4 linked regions of the Oryzias latipes genome follow. The protein of the gene in region 3 interacts with the protein of the main gene of each other region in a pairwise test. Links are inferred from orthologs where the notes say so. Each region holds a gene or a part of one and is shown on either strand. Other genes may lie near its edges. The genes, in order: estrogen-related receptor gamma type 1, dcp1a, pnrc2 and esr1.

The links.
Region 1: the proteins of pnrc2 (region 3) and estrogen-related receptor gamma type 1 interact in binary tests that used the Homo sapiens proteins (3 or more experiments, as listed by UniProt). The link is inferred for Oryzias latipes from reciprocal best matches to the Homo sapiens genes PNRC2 and ESRRG.
Region 2: the proteins of pnrc2 (region 3) and dcp1a interact in binary tests that used the Homo sapiens proteins (3 or more experiments, as listed by UniProt). The link is inferred for Oryzias latipes from reciprocal best matches to the Homo sapiens genes PNRC2 and DCP1A.
Region 4: the proteins of pnrc2 (region 3) and esr1 interact in a two-hybrid assay, tested with the Homo sapiens proteins (2 studies listed by BioGRID and IntAct). The link is inferred for Oryzias latipes from reciprocal best matches to the Homo sapiens genes PNRC2 and ESR1.

The regions. Positions count from the first base shown.
Region 1 is NC_019861.2:25,250,157-25,253,724, reverse strand, and holds part of estrogen-related receptor gamma type 1, read left to right. Parts: intron 1-1,529; coding exon 1,530-1,636; intron 1,637-1,709; coding exon 1,710-1,872; intron 1,873-3,568. UniProt on the Homo sapiens protein: Orphan receptor that acts as a transcription activator in the absence of bound ligand. Binds specifically to an estrogen response element and activates reporter genes controlled by estrogen response elements.
Region 2 is NC_019865.2:7,306,211-7,308,667, reverse strand, and holds part of dcp1a (mRNA-decapping enzyme 1A), read right to left. Parts: intron 2,188-2,457; coding exon 2,121-2,187; intron 1,942-2,120; coding exon 1,803-1,941; intron 1,625-1,802; coding exon 1,544-1,624; intron 1,375-1,543; coding exon 805-1,374; intron 712-804; coding exon 487-711; intron 1-486. UniProt on the Homo sapiens protein: Necessary for the degradation of mRNAs, both in normal mRNA turnover and in nonsense-mediated mRNA decay. Removes the 7-methyl guanine cap structure from mRNA molecules, yielding a 5'-phosphorylated mRNA fragment and 7m-GDP.
Region 3 is NC_019874.2:24,069,041-24,073,084, forward strand, and holds the start of pnrc2 (proline-rich nuclear receptor coactivator 2), read left to right. Parts: upstream 1-1,218; 5' UTR 1,219-1,421; intron 1,422-1,879; 5' UTR 1,880-2,102; intron 2,103-2,280; 5' UTR 2,281-2,300; coding exon 2,301-2,762; 3' UTR 2,763-4,044. UniProt on the Homo sapiens protein: Involved in nonsense-mediated mRNA decay (NMD) by acting as a bridge between the mRNA decapping complex and the NMD machinery. May act by targeting the NMD machinery to the P-body and recruiting the decapping machinery to aberrant mRNAs.
Region 4 is NC_019882.2:8,941,084-8,945,298, forward strand, and holds the start of esr1 (estrogen receptor), read left to right. Parts: upstream 1-1,372; 5' UTR 1,373-1,476; coding exon 1,477-1,487; intron 1,488-2,117; coding exon 2,118-2,537; intron 2,538-3,165; coding exon 3,166-3,380; intron 3,381-3,813; coding exon 3,814-3,930; intron 3,931-4,215.

The sequences.
Region 1 (3,568 bases), on a different chromosome or scaffold from region 3:
ACCAAATGTGTACTTTTGGATTAAATGCATCACTGAGCCCTTAAAATTAAAAAGACTATATACATTTAGAATACATAACAAGGGACATCACTATACAGCATTACTCCTTACCAATGTTTTGTCCTCACTTACCCTCCAGGCTGAACAGTATCAATAAGTACCCACGTGATAATTATAGCTATGTCAGTATACATTTTCCTGTCAACTATGAGTGGTGCAATCCTATAGAGCTCAAAACCCCATCGCTCCTGTGACCAAAGTGTGTGTTTATGTGTAATAAAGAGCTCCTTAAGAAATTCACGTCTAATCATTTTTGATTATTTCATTGTCCAAAAAAAAGACTGCCAGTTGGCAACAACTCTGGCATCTTCACTTTACCATGTGTGTATTTTTGTGTGTCATCGAACCAATTTAGATACATTCCAGTAAATTCCTAAGAATTTATATTTATTTATAAATGTGGTAATATCTGTGTACATGCTTAAGCAAGAAATCTTACCTAATGAGTATGTACCGTGAATGTGTATTGGAGATTGTTAACGGTATAAGATAAAATAAATTAGTGCGCATTGCAAACAACAATAGCTTGCAACTTGGACATAATTAGACGTCTGCCATTACCTGTCAACACATTTTGAGATAAGAGGTCTTAATGCACATGTAGGACTTGCCACACATCTTAAGAGGAGACACTTTGCCGCAGATGTTGTGGGAGAAATATCTTCTCTCTCTCATCTATCTGCCTCTTCTGGCAGAATGTTCCTCACACAAACACATACTGAAGAACCTCTGCAAGGTCTGACAGGTGTGCTTGCACGGCCCACTGTCTTTGCATTTTTAAACACATGGCCCGTGTGGCTGTTAAGGATTGCACTCAGACACACATATGGGCAGGCAGGCAGGTGTGAATGGACAGGTGTGCGAGCAGAGGACAGCTGTGAGGAGAGGTGTGAGTGGGCAGGTGTTCCATTAAAGAAACAGGAAGGTAAAGATGGACAATATATGTGAGAGTCGCAATAAAGTGATCCAAGTGAAAAAAAAGTAATTTTTTTAGATTTAAAAAATAAGACAAGAATTATAGATAGAGTTATAGATTGCGACTGAAGGAAAAGTCTGATAAGCAAATGGAAGGACATGGATTGACACCAAAGAAACCAGTAGGTTTAAGGCCATAGGAGAAATGAGTGTGTGTTTTCTAAGAGCGCAGCAGCAATGGCCAGCATTGATTCATGGAGGTTTGGCAGAAGGAGATAAGGCCTGCTTCCCTCAGAGAATAGCCCAGGGCACATGGGAGAGCGGAAAGAAGCAGACAGAGGAGAAGGACTCTGGTCAGGTGGATGGATGAGAGGTGGGAGGGGAAAGAGAGAAGTCGACCTTGACCCCCTTACTTGCTTTGGAACAAGCTTTACTGTTTTCTTTGTCTTGTTTTTTACCCAGAGTAAAGAAATGCCCCCTATTTACCAGTTTGCTTCTTGTTGAATGCATAAATTAATAATGCCTGTCCTTTGCTCTCTTTCTCTCTTTCTCAGGTTTCTCCACACTGTCTTTGGCAGACCAGATGAGTCTACTGCAGAGTGCATGGATGGAGATCTTGATCCTGCGTGTTGTGTATCGCTCGCTGTCATTTGAAGACAAAGTAGGTTTCTTTTGAACTTTATGCAAGTCCTAGTTTGATCTGCAAACTCAACTTGTCTCCAATATTCCTTTAGCTGGTGTATGCTGAGGATTACATAATGGATGAGGATCAGTCTAAACTAGCCGGACTGCTGGACCTAAACAACGCCATCCTTCAGCTGGTCAAGAAATACAAATCCATGAAGCTAGAGAAAGAGGAATTTGTCACTTTAAAGGCCATTGCTTTGGCTAATTCAGGTTTGAAACTCTTCACTCTCAGCTGTTTTTGTCCGTGCGTGCTTGTGTTTGACTGATAGAGGAGAGTTAATCCTAGGAATCTCCAATCCCGTGGGGCTCATTTAAGCTGAGCCATCAGAAGACTGATTTCAGTAGTCTGCATCCACACACGCTCTCAGAAGCTTCTACAGCACAGTAAATATTGATGGAAATATTTTAACAGCTCAAACAGTTCTCTTTCTTTTTATTTCCCTTTGAATGCAAGGATGCGGTACAAACATGCAGGAACACATTCAATCTGAATCCCACCCCCAAACAAAGCGGCAGTCCCTTTTAAAATTAACATAGCCGTCCCTTTAGATGCCTGTTAAATAAGGAGAAATCATTAGATCCCAAAACCTGTCGATACAAGCCGCTCTGTGATGTGTCCAGCTGCATTGACAGCTGACTGACACGCAGTCCCTCACACACACACCTACTCTTCCTCTCATGACCCGTCTTTTGAACTTTGTCTTGGAAGCCAGCCAGCTCTTCAGTACTCTTTAATTACAAGGGGGGAGCTGTCAATACAATGTGTTTAAATGGAAGAATGCAATACGAGATTTTAATGGGAAGGGAGAAGCTTTTCATTCTGCTGCCACCACCACCAGCATAATGTCAGTCATCACATGTGGAGGACTGGGACTGTAATTTTGAACAAATTTGAAACAAAACAATCACTTAATTTGGCTTTTATTTCGAACTTCACTATCATTTATGTTCTGAGAAAAGGAAATTAATTTTATTGAAACTGTACTTTCATATTTTATATAAAGAAATAAAAATAAGAATTGAAAAGGATACAGAAAATACACAGTTCATTCATCTTACTACACAAATACACTTAAAAAAACTTCATGTAAATTAGTGAAATTGACATGTAGCTGAACTACTCTGCATTTAAACTGCTTTACCTTCTAAGTGATTAAATCAAAACAACTAAAGCCTAAATGCAGCGCAAACCATGTAACCCACTCAGCTGGCTTTTCAAGACAACAGAATGCTAGCATTAGCATTTTGAAGGGCACTGACACTAATTAATTCACAGGATGCTAATCGTCTGCATTAATGAAGCCAAGCCTTAAGAAATGTTAGAAAACGTGCCCCACATGTAAAGAAAGTTAAACTAACCATGGGAAACGGGAGGTGTGTGCTTGTTTTTGTGCATGTGAGTTTATGCACGCTGCTCTGTTAGCATGTGTGCTTTAACAGTCTGACATGCTTGTGCTCATTAGTGTTCTGCTGTTTAACTCATGACAGTTCAGTGAATTTCAAAACAGACCAAAGACATTTCTACCAGTTTAAACCCACAACAAATAAACAACAGGTGGATTTTATTTACCGCGGCTTAACCTTCCCTCCCTGCGCAGAAAACCACCCTAGAGTGAAAAAAGAAAATCAATAGATTTTATTTAATCTGTTTATTACAATATACTTTTTTTTTTCTTTCGCTCTTAGCATCTCACTTCATCAAGCACAGTGTGAAAAAAAAACAACAACCAGGAAATTTAAAAACAAATGAAAGCTGAGTTATTTATTGATCCCCTCAGAATCCAGCCCACTAACCAGCCTGGTCCTGCATACTGATACATGCATTACACTGTATAGATCTGTTTGATGCCATTGTGTGTGTTAGTTTGCACATCTATGTCCGAGCTACCATGTTGACATATTTCAT
Region 2 (2,457 bases), on a different chromosome or scaffold from region 3:
TGTAGTGCAAGGTATTCAAGTTATATAAGGCCAATCAAATGCCTCAATAAAGTGTGGTGCTTACTGGCCCCCGCGTCTAACGTTCCAAACATTTGACGGTTTTCATGAAGCCCATCCTGCTTTCAAGTGGTAGGGGTGTGGACTTCCAACAAGCTCACTCTTGATTGGTGAGAGTGGTTGGCATAGAAACGCTGACTAAGACCAATCGCTTCTTACTGACATTGTCTGGCTTCAACATGGCAGCGTCCACATCGTGAAAAAATGGCCACTTCATTTCATTGGAGCTGGAAGTAAGTACGGTGAAAGTCCAGACATTTTTGAAAAAAAATTAATAATAATCAAAAAGTTATTATTCTTTTTTTTTAATCTAACAGGAACTAAAGCTTTCCTGTAACATTCTCCAATATTTTTTTTATCACCGTGTGATACAGGAGAAGGTTCTGACCCTCCCAACATCACACTTTCTGTCAAATACCACTGGGTTACCTTGATGAGATGAATCAAAGTCTCCTGGAGCTGAGTTCTACTGCAGGCGGTTGGGAGAGAATCTAAAGCTCCTCCAGATGCTGAAGACGGCTCAGAGGCCGCAGGAGGGACCGCTGGCGCTGCTGTTGAGGGGTTTTTATTGACATTCTGCTGGAAAACACTCGGAGAGAGAAGCACTGAGATCTCTGACCCTGGAACGGCTGGACCTGGACTCATGGGGAGAGTCTGCAAACACAAAGACAGCTCTCTGCTTGTATGTTGAGGGGAGAAAGGTAGAGAAGACTCATTGATGAGTTTAGCAAACAAATCGGGACTTACAGACATGGGCTTAATGAGGTTTGGAGGCTTAGAGAAAAAGTCCATGTTGTGTTCCTGGAAGCTGTGGGGTGGAACCAAAGTGTTTGGGATGAAGTTGGGTGCAAGCATGGGCTTGTGGACGTCTGAATTCATAGAAGGGATCACAGGTTTGATTGAATCCAGTATTTCCTTTCTCAAAAAGGCTGTGGAAGGCGTTGCAGGGTCGGTCAGACCAGACGATGCAGCGAGGTGCTCCGAACCAGCTGAAGGCATCATCAGAGGAGGGACCGAACAGTGGGATTGAGAATCGGGCCGTGGGACCACATGCTGTAAAACCGGACCGGGGTTCATTGCATAAGGAGAAGGGATTAGATTAGGGGCTTGTTGTTGCCGGCGTGACCCGGGATCGTGGCCTGTGAGGAGCGGACTTTGATGAACTGAAACAGGATACGCTGGTTTCTGCACAAAAGCAGGGAGGTCACTGGAAGAAGTGGATTCCTGCGCAGCTTTGTTGAAGAGAGAGGTTTCCTTAGGCAGAGACGATCCAAAGAGTTCTTCAACTGTGATCTGCTTCACCACTGTATGAGAACTCTGATGAGAGCAGGAGAGCAACTCTGTTAACCAAGCAATCAACTGACCGACACAGAACTAATGAAGATAGATGTGCTTTCAGTTTACTGATCACCCAAATGTCAAATGGCTTGTGGTCCCAAAATCTCACTTACTTACGGTTCTCACTAAGCCTGTGCGATGCACATACCTTTTCGGGTGACGCTGCTCTGTGTGGATGTTCCACTTTAACACTTGTGTCAACAGACATCTCCGATTCCCCTGCCTGGGCCTTCGTCACATTTGAAAATCAAGCAAAATGCAGTTAAAATTGGCCTCATCTTACCCGTTAAAGTCCACTAGAACTAAAAATAACACCCCAAGAAGACCACTTAAAACAAAGTAGTCGACATTTTAAAAATGAAAGTTAAGTTAAAGGTGAAACAGAGTAAGACTTTATTTGTAATTACTCTTTGGTATTCCTCCTTGGCCTTGCTAAGCAGCTCCAGGATGTCAATAGGTTTCGTTTCGGTGATCCCATTGGTTCTTGCGGCCTCCGTCCTCTCTGGGGTCTTTCTCTGAGCATGGTCTGCTTCCTGTTTCACGATCCTGAAAGAGACTCAACTATAAACGTCCCGTACAGCACTGTTTGTATCATTTCAAACTTTTCATTTGGTTCCTTGGTACATTTACACGTCTGAAATACTAATGCAAATAGGATTTTGAATTCACCTACAGTTTTACCTCATTAATAAACTAACTTATTGGGTACATTTCAGCTCACTTACTTGAGCATCAGCTGAGCTATGCGCCGACAGTCCCTCTTGTCATAGAACCAAATACTGTAGATGCCCACTAGAAGAAATATAGAAACAGACATTCTGTTAGGTAAAGCAGTAATGCAAAAAAATAACCCCAAAAGGCTGTGAATGATTAATTTAATCATTAGTTCTCAACAACAACAAGATCAAATATTAAAGCTTACTTAATAATCCTAAAGTTTAAACATCTGTTTGAATAAAATGGGTAAAAAAACTGATAGAATAAAAGAAGTTCACAGAATTCTTCCAAGAACCAGATGTGGAAAACTAAAAACTGAAGTTTATGAAAGGACTTTGATCGCAC
Region 3 (4,044 bases):
AGTATAAGACAAAAAGAAGAAAAAGAAAAGATGAAACTGTACGTGTTTAAAGTGGAGTGAGCTGTGTTAGAAAAAATAAATAATAAAAGGACCAAAATCTATTTATTATATACATATTTAAAAAGTAGCCTTCTTTTTAACCCTTGTGCTATCTTAAATAACCCCACCCTTACATTGACGTGTAATTCCTACCATGACAAAGGTGGATAAAGGTGGAAAGATTTCATGTAATCCATGGACACCAGTGAAGATCACAAATTGTTGAAGAAAAAAGGTTCAGAGCACTGTCTAGTGGGTCTAGATGACCCAACTCCCAATGTTAAATTGCCTAGGATAGCACAAGGGTTACATAAACTTTTGTCTTTGTTAATTGTACAATACGTAAAACTTTCCAAAGATTACGAGATAGAGGAAAGTTCAGTAATTCTAGAAAATGTTTTCCTACTTTAAACAAAAGCAAGACAAACAAAAAATCGAAATCAATGTGACCTGTCCTTAGCTTCCTCAGAGTAAAAACACAGACACGAACTTCTTTGTTTGGCTTTTAACTGCCTCTTTGTGTGGTATTTCCCCCTGTGTTTGTAAAAAAAAAAGAAAACGTACAGGTTACTGTTTTGGTCAAAACTGTGGCAGTGTTACCACGTGCACTTTGTTGACAAACATGCTAAAGTGAGGATTTTCAGTAAAAGAACAGCAGCTTGTTTTGTGACCACGCAACACAGATGGGGGATGGGCTACGTGATGGTGAAACAAAAGCTGAAACGCCTAGTTTCAGTTAATAAAGCAGCGTAAAAGCGAAACGTTTTTCAGAAATGGGCATGTTGTGACCTGTAGACATTAGAATCTCCCTGAGAAAAAACAAATAAATGGAAAGTATTACGCCACAACACACAGCATTACATAACATACATGTCGACTCGATATAATGTTATGCTGATTGTCATGCTGTGCATTTTTTCAGGACTCTTTCTTAAAAATACAGAGTGAAAACAAATTAATTTATCGGAAGCGTTTGTTTAGTTTAATTCCTCACTTCTCTCAGGAAATACCCGAACCATCTCCACCAAAGGAAATGGGAGGAAGTGTGGTTGACGTCACCCGTCTGGCAACAGGCATGACTGCGTAGGTTTGCCTACACGCTGATTGGTCACCTAACTCGTACTCGAGAGGTGATTGGTTCGATTTCTGCGAGAACAGACTACTTATCTCCTTGGCAGAGTCCATTTTGTTGCAATCGAGTGTCGGGAGGAGAAGTGGCGGTTATACGCCTCATGATAAAACCACCTTAGCCTCGACGGTGATGGGTTTGTAGGAAAAATAGCTTGCTTTGCTTCCTACATTGTCCGCCGAAGGATTCCAGAGGCTAAACTTGTATATTTTTTGACAAAAGGCTTTTCAACAACCAAGCCTTAAAGAAGTCGGTAAGGATAAAACTCAGATTCTAGTACCTCGGCTCGTCGCCATATTGAGTAGCTTCTTTGTTTTGGTTCGATGCCAAAGAGTGACACAGTATCGTAAAAGTACTTTTCTAGTCGTCTCGATGAAACAAGTATGTTATCTAATAACGTTTACATTTTTTTGTTATGTTATCGAATAAAACCATTTAAGCTTATGTTAAAATACATATACCGTTGTGACTATTATGTAATATGTGTGTAATGGAAAATGGATTTTATGGTTTATAAATGAGTTCAAAGCTAATTATAAGCTAGTTTTGGTAGTTTGTGTGTTGTGTAATGACGCAGTTTCTTACACGCCCATCCCCCGTCATTTTTTTCAAATCGAGTAAGACAGAAAATAATTTTAAAGTATTCTCATAGTCGCTTTCATTAGCACATTGTATCGTTACTCACTAATCCGCTTTTGTTTTCGCTTTTAGGAGCTCGACTTCGCGGAACAATCGTGTGCCGGGGTGAATTGATGTTCAGCTCGGCTTCACGGGAAAACATCGCTCATCATTGGCACATGAAAACCTCAGACCTTGCTGGACATAAATGTGCAGCGAGAAGTAGGCAGAAAACTACTTCGAGGACCTGGGGACCGACTGGTGGAGAGAGATTAAAGAAGGATCTCTGCTTCGTCAACATACTACCAGCAAAGAGGTGAGCTGGGTCTGTTTTTCTGCCGAGTGGGGGAGGGGCGTCGCTGCCCTGTCTGGCTGTTGTTTCTGCACGTAGCGCCTCAGCTTGTTTTTGTTCGAACTGAGCATGCGCAGTAGGCGCTTGTCATTGCACGAATATTTTTTCCTGAGTTAAGACTTAAATATGTTTACTCCTGTAGGTGACACATAGTACAGAAACATGGGAGGTGGCGAGAGGTACAACATTCCAATTTCCCACCCTGAAAGGCAAAAGAAGAACCAGCTTGTCAAGGCCAAACAGAGAAGCCGTGACCAGAATGGAGTCGCTGTCTCAGCAGGAGGATTAGGGGGCCTTCACAATCATGGCCACCGTAGGAGCGACAAAGGCGCAGCCTACCACAGGTCTCCGGAGGCGCGGCAGGCCGTGTCTGCAGACAAAAATGCCTCCATGCGTTTTGGCACCAACTACGATCAGAACTGGGAGGGTGCAGTGTCTCACCTCAACACACTCCTGGCCGCCCAGGGCAGCCCCAGCTATGCAGGGCCCAAGTTCAGTGAGCCACCATCACCCAGTGTGCTGCCCAAGCCCCCAAGCCACTGGGTTTCTTTTCCGTCAAGCTCCTTTGATCACAGGGAGATGATGGCTTTCCAGCTCAAGAGTCTACTGAAAGTGCAGGCCTGAGCTACGTCCACACTTCACTTAAAGAGCCAATATACAGACTGCGACCCTATTGAGGTGCTCATCTGCTTGGAATGCTTCAGAGCTGTAATACATTTGGATTTTTGGCTGAAATATTTGCAAAAGAGGCTTACTCGTGTTTAAATTTTTAATGGAATTTTTAATTACAGCTCTGCTGCCTTACTTGTCGGTGCAGTCCTTAATGGAGTCCATTTCTGTAATCTGTTAACTGGATTAAATGTACTTTTAGTTTTGTTGTTAGTGTTTGCTGTAAAAGCCAACAGAGTGAACCTTTTTCCACATAAGAAAACAGGGCTTGTAACATCCGTTAAGTAACAGTCCATTACTTTTATAGTCCATTTCTGTGGACAGACGCCTTTCATTCGTACAGGTTTTAACGACGAACATTTGGAGTGAACTCAAACGCTTCAGGTGCTAAATAACATGAACATTTGTAGCATTTTTTTTAAAGGGCCCCGTAATTTTCTTGATGGTTACATTCCTTGTTTGGAATAAAGACACTCAATAGTTCTGCAGGAGAAAAAAAAGCTATTTTGAGATAAGTGAGGAAGGAAGAGGTGGCCTCAAAGGGTAAGAGACAATGGCACATGGGCCGTAGACCCCAAACTCCTGTATCCTTTCTTTACTGCGCTGTGCGCACATGCACTATGGGAGTTTGGCGTGCCTAAGGTCTGCAACACTCTTATCAAAGCATTATTTTACTTTTGTTTTGGTTGAAAACCGTTTTAATCTCTGTAACCAAAGCAATGTGTTGCTGTATTTCGTTCTTTATCAACAACCTTGTGGCTTTTTTTCCTCCTAACTTCTTGTTTTTTGCCAGCCCCGTTGGTGAATGAGATACAGTCACTTGGCTACTTTCTGTTCCAATCAGTACTGTTACTGCCTTTAAGCTTCAGGTCTTGTCAGCGCAAGGCATGCTTCTAAACCTGCGGAAGAGGACCATGTCATTGACTTGTCCTGTTTGGCTGCATGCCTTAGCTTGGGACGAGGTGAGCTAAGGAGGTTTATTTTGGAGAAGTGGCTTCAGGGGTCCAACGTTAGACGGTCTTTGTGTTTACAAATTCTGCCTCAGAGACTGACTGTTCATGGAAGTGTTGTTGCCTGTCTTTTGTCTAACCCCTTGCACTGCAATCAGACTCTTACCCACAAGCAGCAGAGACGATTTTGTTGACTTTGTGATGCAAAAGGACTTTGATTCTTGTTTTTTTGTGCTTCGGACCTCACTTTAGGATCTTTTTTCCTTTGCAGAATGGAAGGTTTTTAC
Region 4 (4,215 bases), on a different chromosome or scaffold from region 3:
TCCACGGAAACTAGAGATTAAAAGTTGGCAAAGAAGAACTGAAAACATGGCAGCATTATCTAGAATGGCGAAAAACATTCCAAATATTTACACAAGTCTGATCACTTGCAGTAAAGTGAATCTAAAGACTTCAGTAATGCCAAATGCTCAAACAGGAGCTCCGATTTGATCAATAAAAGAAAAGTTTCTGAAGTTTTTTAAACCCATATTCCGATTTTATCTTGCTGCTGGATTTTTTTTATTATGAAGGCAGATTTGCCTGAAAGTTTGATTTCAAAGTAAAGATCAGAGGAAGGTTTGGGTGTTGATTTTTAATCTGAATGGTTTGGATTAAAGCTTTAAATCTCCCTGGCCAAAATCTGGAGTCCATCCTGACGCCTGTCTGCGCTCAAATAAAACACACACTTGTAATAAACCTGAACAGATGAAAAAGGTAATAAATAGATGAAACTAAGAGTGGGGCATCTTGTCTTTATTTTTCTGCTCTCGCATGTTGACCTGTTGCATTCAGGTCAGGTCGGACTTTAAAAACCTGTAAACGAAACAGTTGGAAATGCTGCAACATGTGCATTACAATTCTGAATGAACGAGGGGTATAATTGTCGTACTTTGTGAAGGTGGTCCGTCACGAAAATGAGGTCAATTATTCTAAGAGGCGTGCTAAAGCCATTTTTGGTGATTTGCTGGATACGTTTGCTTCCCAACCAGTCATTTTTTGCTGTTTCCTGGTGTTGCTGTCATCAATTTTATTCTAGGAAAAATGCAAAATGATCCATATCATCATCAAGACTACTTGTTTCCCACTTGACCCCAACATGTCTTGAAAATTGGGCTGTTTGTTCAAGAAAGAGTCCGGACAGGAACGAGGAGGAGGGCTTTTGTTCCCCCCTTCAGCAGTCGAGCATGCTCATGTTTATTCTAACATATAAGAAGATCATATCTTGATAAAATCAGCTTTATTTTAGCCCCCCCCCCCATTTTTATGTTAATATTATTCAAATCTAATTTTCCTGGAAGAATTTCAAGTCCATTTTTCTTTCCTAGTAATTCAAGTACACACAAAAAAAACTTTAAAGTGTAAATACTATTTTTTTCCAGAAATCTATGGCATCAGCAATTTGGCTTTAGTGGAAATGTTTTGCCACTTCCCCTTTGACCAAACCTTTTTTTTTGTGTTTATTATCTTTTTTTCCTCTTTTTCTGCATTTAAAATCCCCATTAATTTCCTTATTTGGAATTGATTGTGTAATTGTTGGCTGTCAGATTGAGATTTGACCCCCTGCTTTGTTTGCTGTGTTATGGTGACCTGGCACTTAAACACACCATGGTTATTGATTTGGCTGCATCTTTAATTTGTTTATCCTTTTTCAAACCTTTCCACTGGTTCCACCGAAGCTGCCCGTCTCGCTGCTAGATGCCTGTCAGGCAGGCAGAGAGGAAGCAGCCCGTGTTGCGCAGCACATCTGAGGATGATTCATGAGTAAGAGGTGAGTGGTGTCTCATGCTTGATTTTGCAGTTCTTCTTTTCTTTTTTTTCTTTTTTAAGCCTTTTTGTTTCAAAGCATCCCTGCTTTTATTTACCCAGTAATTAGGTTGAGTGCAGTCTTGGTTGTGTTTTGGCCATCTCACCACTAACGCCGCATCCTCTGCTAATAAAAGCTGATTATTCAGAGTCGCTCTGTTGGTTTGTAGTTTCTGGAAACCACACGACAGCCGGGGAAAGCTTTGCTTTAGACAAACGAGGTGGAAGGAGACAGGGAAGTTTAGGAATAACTATTCCCTGACATTCCTTTCTTTTCCTCTCTCTCCCACTTGTGACTCCCACACTTGAGTGTAAACATATTGGAGGAAATACTGAGAGACAAAACCAGCAGATTGGGAGGAGTCCTTTTCGTTATTTTTGGTGAGCTGAAGCTTTAGGGAGACGAGGAAAAAGGATCTTCTGGTCCCTCCAAGTAGTCTGACAGGCATTAATAGAAAGATGAGCCCCACACAGAGAGAAAGGGAAGACTAAAAAGAGAGAGGGAGAGGAGAACTCCACTCCCCCTCCCAGCAAATGGGAGAACAAGTCTAAATCATGCTTCTTATCGCCGCTGTTGTGCTGTGATGTTGCTCAGACAGAGCTCGGTGCAGATCAGGCAGCTGTTCGGACCAGCACTCAGATCCAGGATCAGCCCAGCCTCCTCAGAGCTGGAGACCCTCTCCCCACCTCGCCTCTCGCCCCGTGACCCCCTCGGTGACATGTACCCTGAAGAGAGCCGGGGTTCTGGAGGGGTGGCTGCTGTGGACTTTTTGGAAGGGACGTACGACTATGCCGCCCCCAACCCTGCCACGACTCCCCTTTACAGCCAGTCCAGCACCGGCTACTACTCTGCTCCCCTGGAAACAAACGGACCCCCCTCAGAAGGCAGTCTGCAGTCCCTGGGCAGTGGGCCGACGAGCCCTCTGGTGTTTGTGCCCTCCAGCCCCAGACTCAGTCCCTTTATGCATCCACCCAGCCACCACTATCTGGAAACCACTTCCACGCCCGTTTACAGGTAAGTGAGGGCAGTTTAGCTCCGAATGAGTCATGAAAGTGGACAAATGAGGGGGAGAGGTCTGTGTTTCAGCCTCTGCTGATTCATCCAACTGTTTGTTTAGGCAGACTGAGTTAAAAGGAAGTACTGAATTCCAAAAAATGATTATTATTTTGCTTTGTTTAATTACAAAAATCAAGGAGTTTGGGTGTTTTTCACCCACTGTCACACATGAGGAGCAGCCTTGGCGGAAAACTAGATATTTTACAATTTATGGCAATGACATTTAAAGTTGAGTCTTCCAAGTGCTTTTATAAACAAAACATTATTACATAATGACACAACCTTTTAATCTTCCACTTTATACAAAACACACAACTTTATCTTTTCGTAAAGGATCAAGCTTGGTCCTGCTTTCTAAATCCAGAGATTAAGGACTTTGTCAGAGACCTTGAGAGAGGAACAATACGTAAGAACAACAGAGGCTCACATGAATTTTGTTTTTCTGGTTCCGGTGGAAAACACAAGTCTGTTTTTGCACTTTCATATTTTTAGTCAGAATGTTCTTGATCATCTTTTGGCAAATTCTGTCCTTTATTAGCACCACAGAACCAGAAATGGTCAGATTAAGATTCACAACCTGTTGCAGATCCAGCCACCAGGGAGCCTCCAGGGAGGACCAGTGCGGCTCCCGGGAGGACACGTGCAGCCTGGGGGAGTTAGGCGCCGGAGCCGGGGCTGGGGGGTTTGAGATGGCCAAAGACACGCGTTTCTGCGCCGTGTGCAGCGACTACGCCTCTGGGTACCACTATGGGGTGTGGTCTTGTGAGGGCTGCAAGGCCTTCTTCAAGAGGAGCATCCAGGGTAGGAAGCCACACTAAAAAGTCTTCTGGATTTAGAAAACTGTCAAAAATGTCAAATCAGTCTGATCTGAAAAATTCTCAATTATACTTTGATAATCATCATAAATTGTGATATCGTAGAAATGACTAGTCTTAAATCAAAAGAATTGATGAGCGCACATTTAAGCCTTTGTGGTTAGTTTTTGGATCACAACAGTTGAAGAGAAAAGCTCCATCTGCTTGATGGTTCAGTCATGTTCACGATATAATTGTGTAATGAAGGATCAGTCAGAAGGTTACAAAATGTTTCCATGGCAATAGAAAAGCTAAGATGCCACATTTTCATCTTCTCCTCCCCAGATTCTTTTATCAGTGTTCCTGGCTACTAAATAACCTAAATCTAAACTGAACATTGGACTTGAAGGCTGAAAGTAATATATTTTTCTCCATTTCAGGTCACAATGACTATATGTGCCCAGCGACCAATCAGTGCACTATTGACAGAAATCGGAGGAAGAGCTGCCAGGCTTGTCGTCTTAGGAAGTGTTACGAAGTGGGAATGATGAAAGGCGGTGAGCACTAACTTCACCTGACAAGAGATTTTCCCGCCTCAGCTTTTTTGTTCCCATCATTTACCATTTTCTACATGAAAGCGGCCCTCAATATTTGTTTTTCTGCAACGCACACTCCGCAAGGGTGCAGATAAACTTGAACTTTAGCACGTCCCTGAAGATATTTACATCTCAGAAGTACAACTAATTATTACACATCCTGTTTGTTTTGGTGCCTCTCAGATAAGGGCATCTAAGTGTGCGGATGAAAATGCATGGATTTGTGTCTGGCTTGGTTTGTTTACA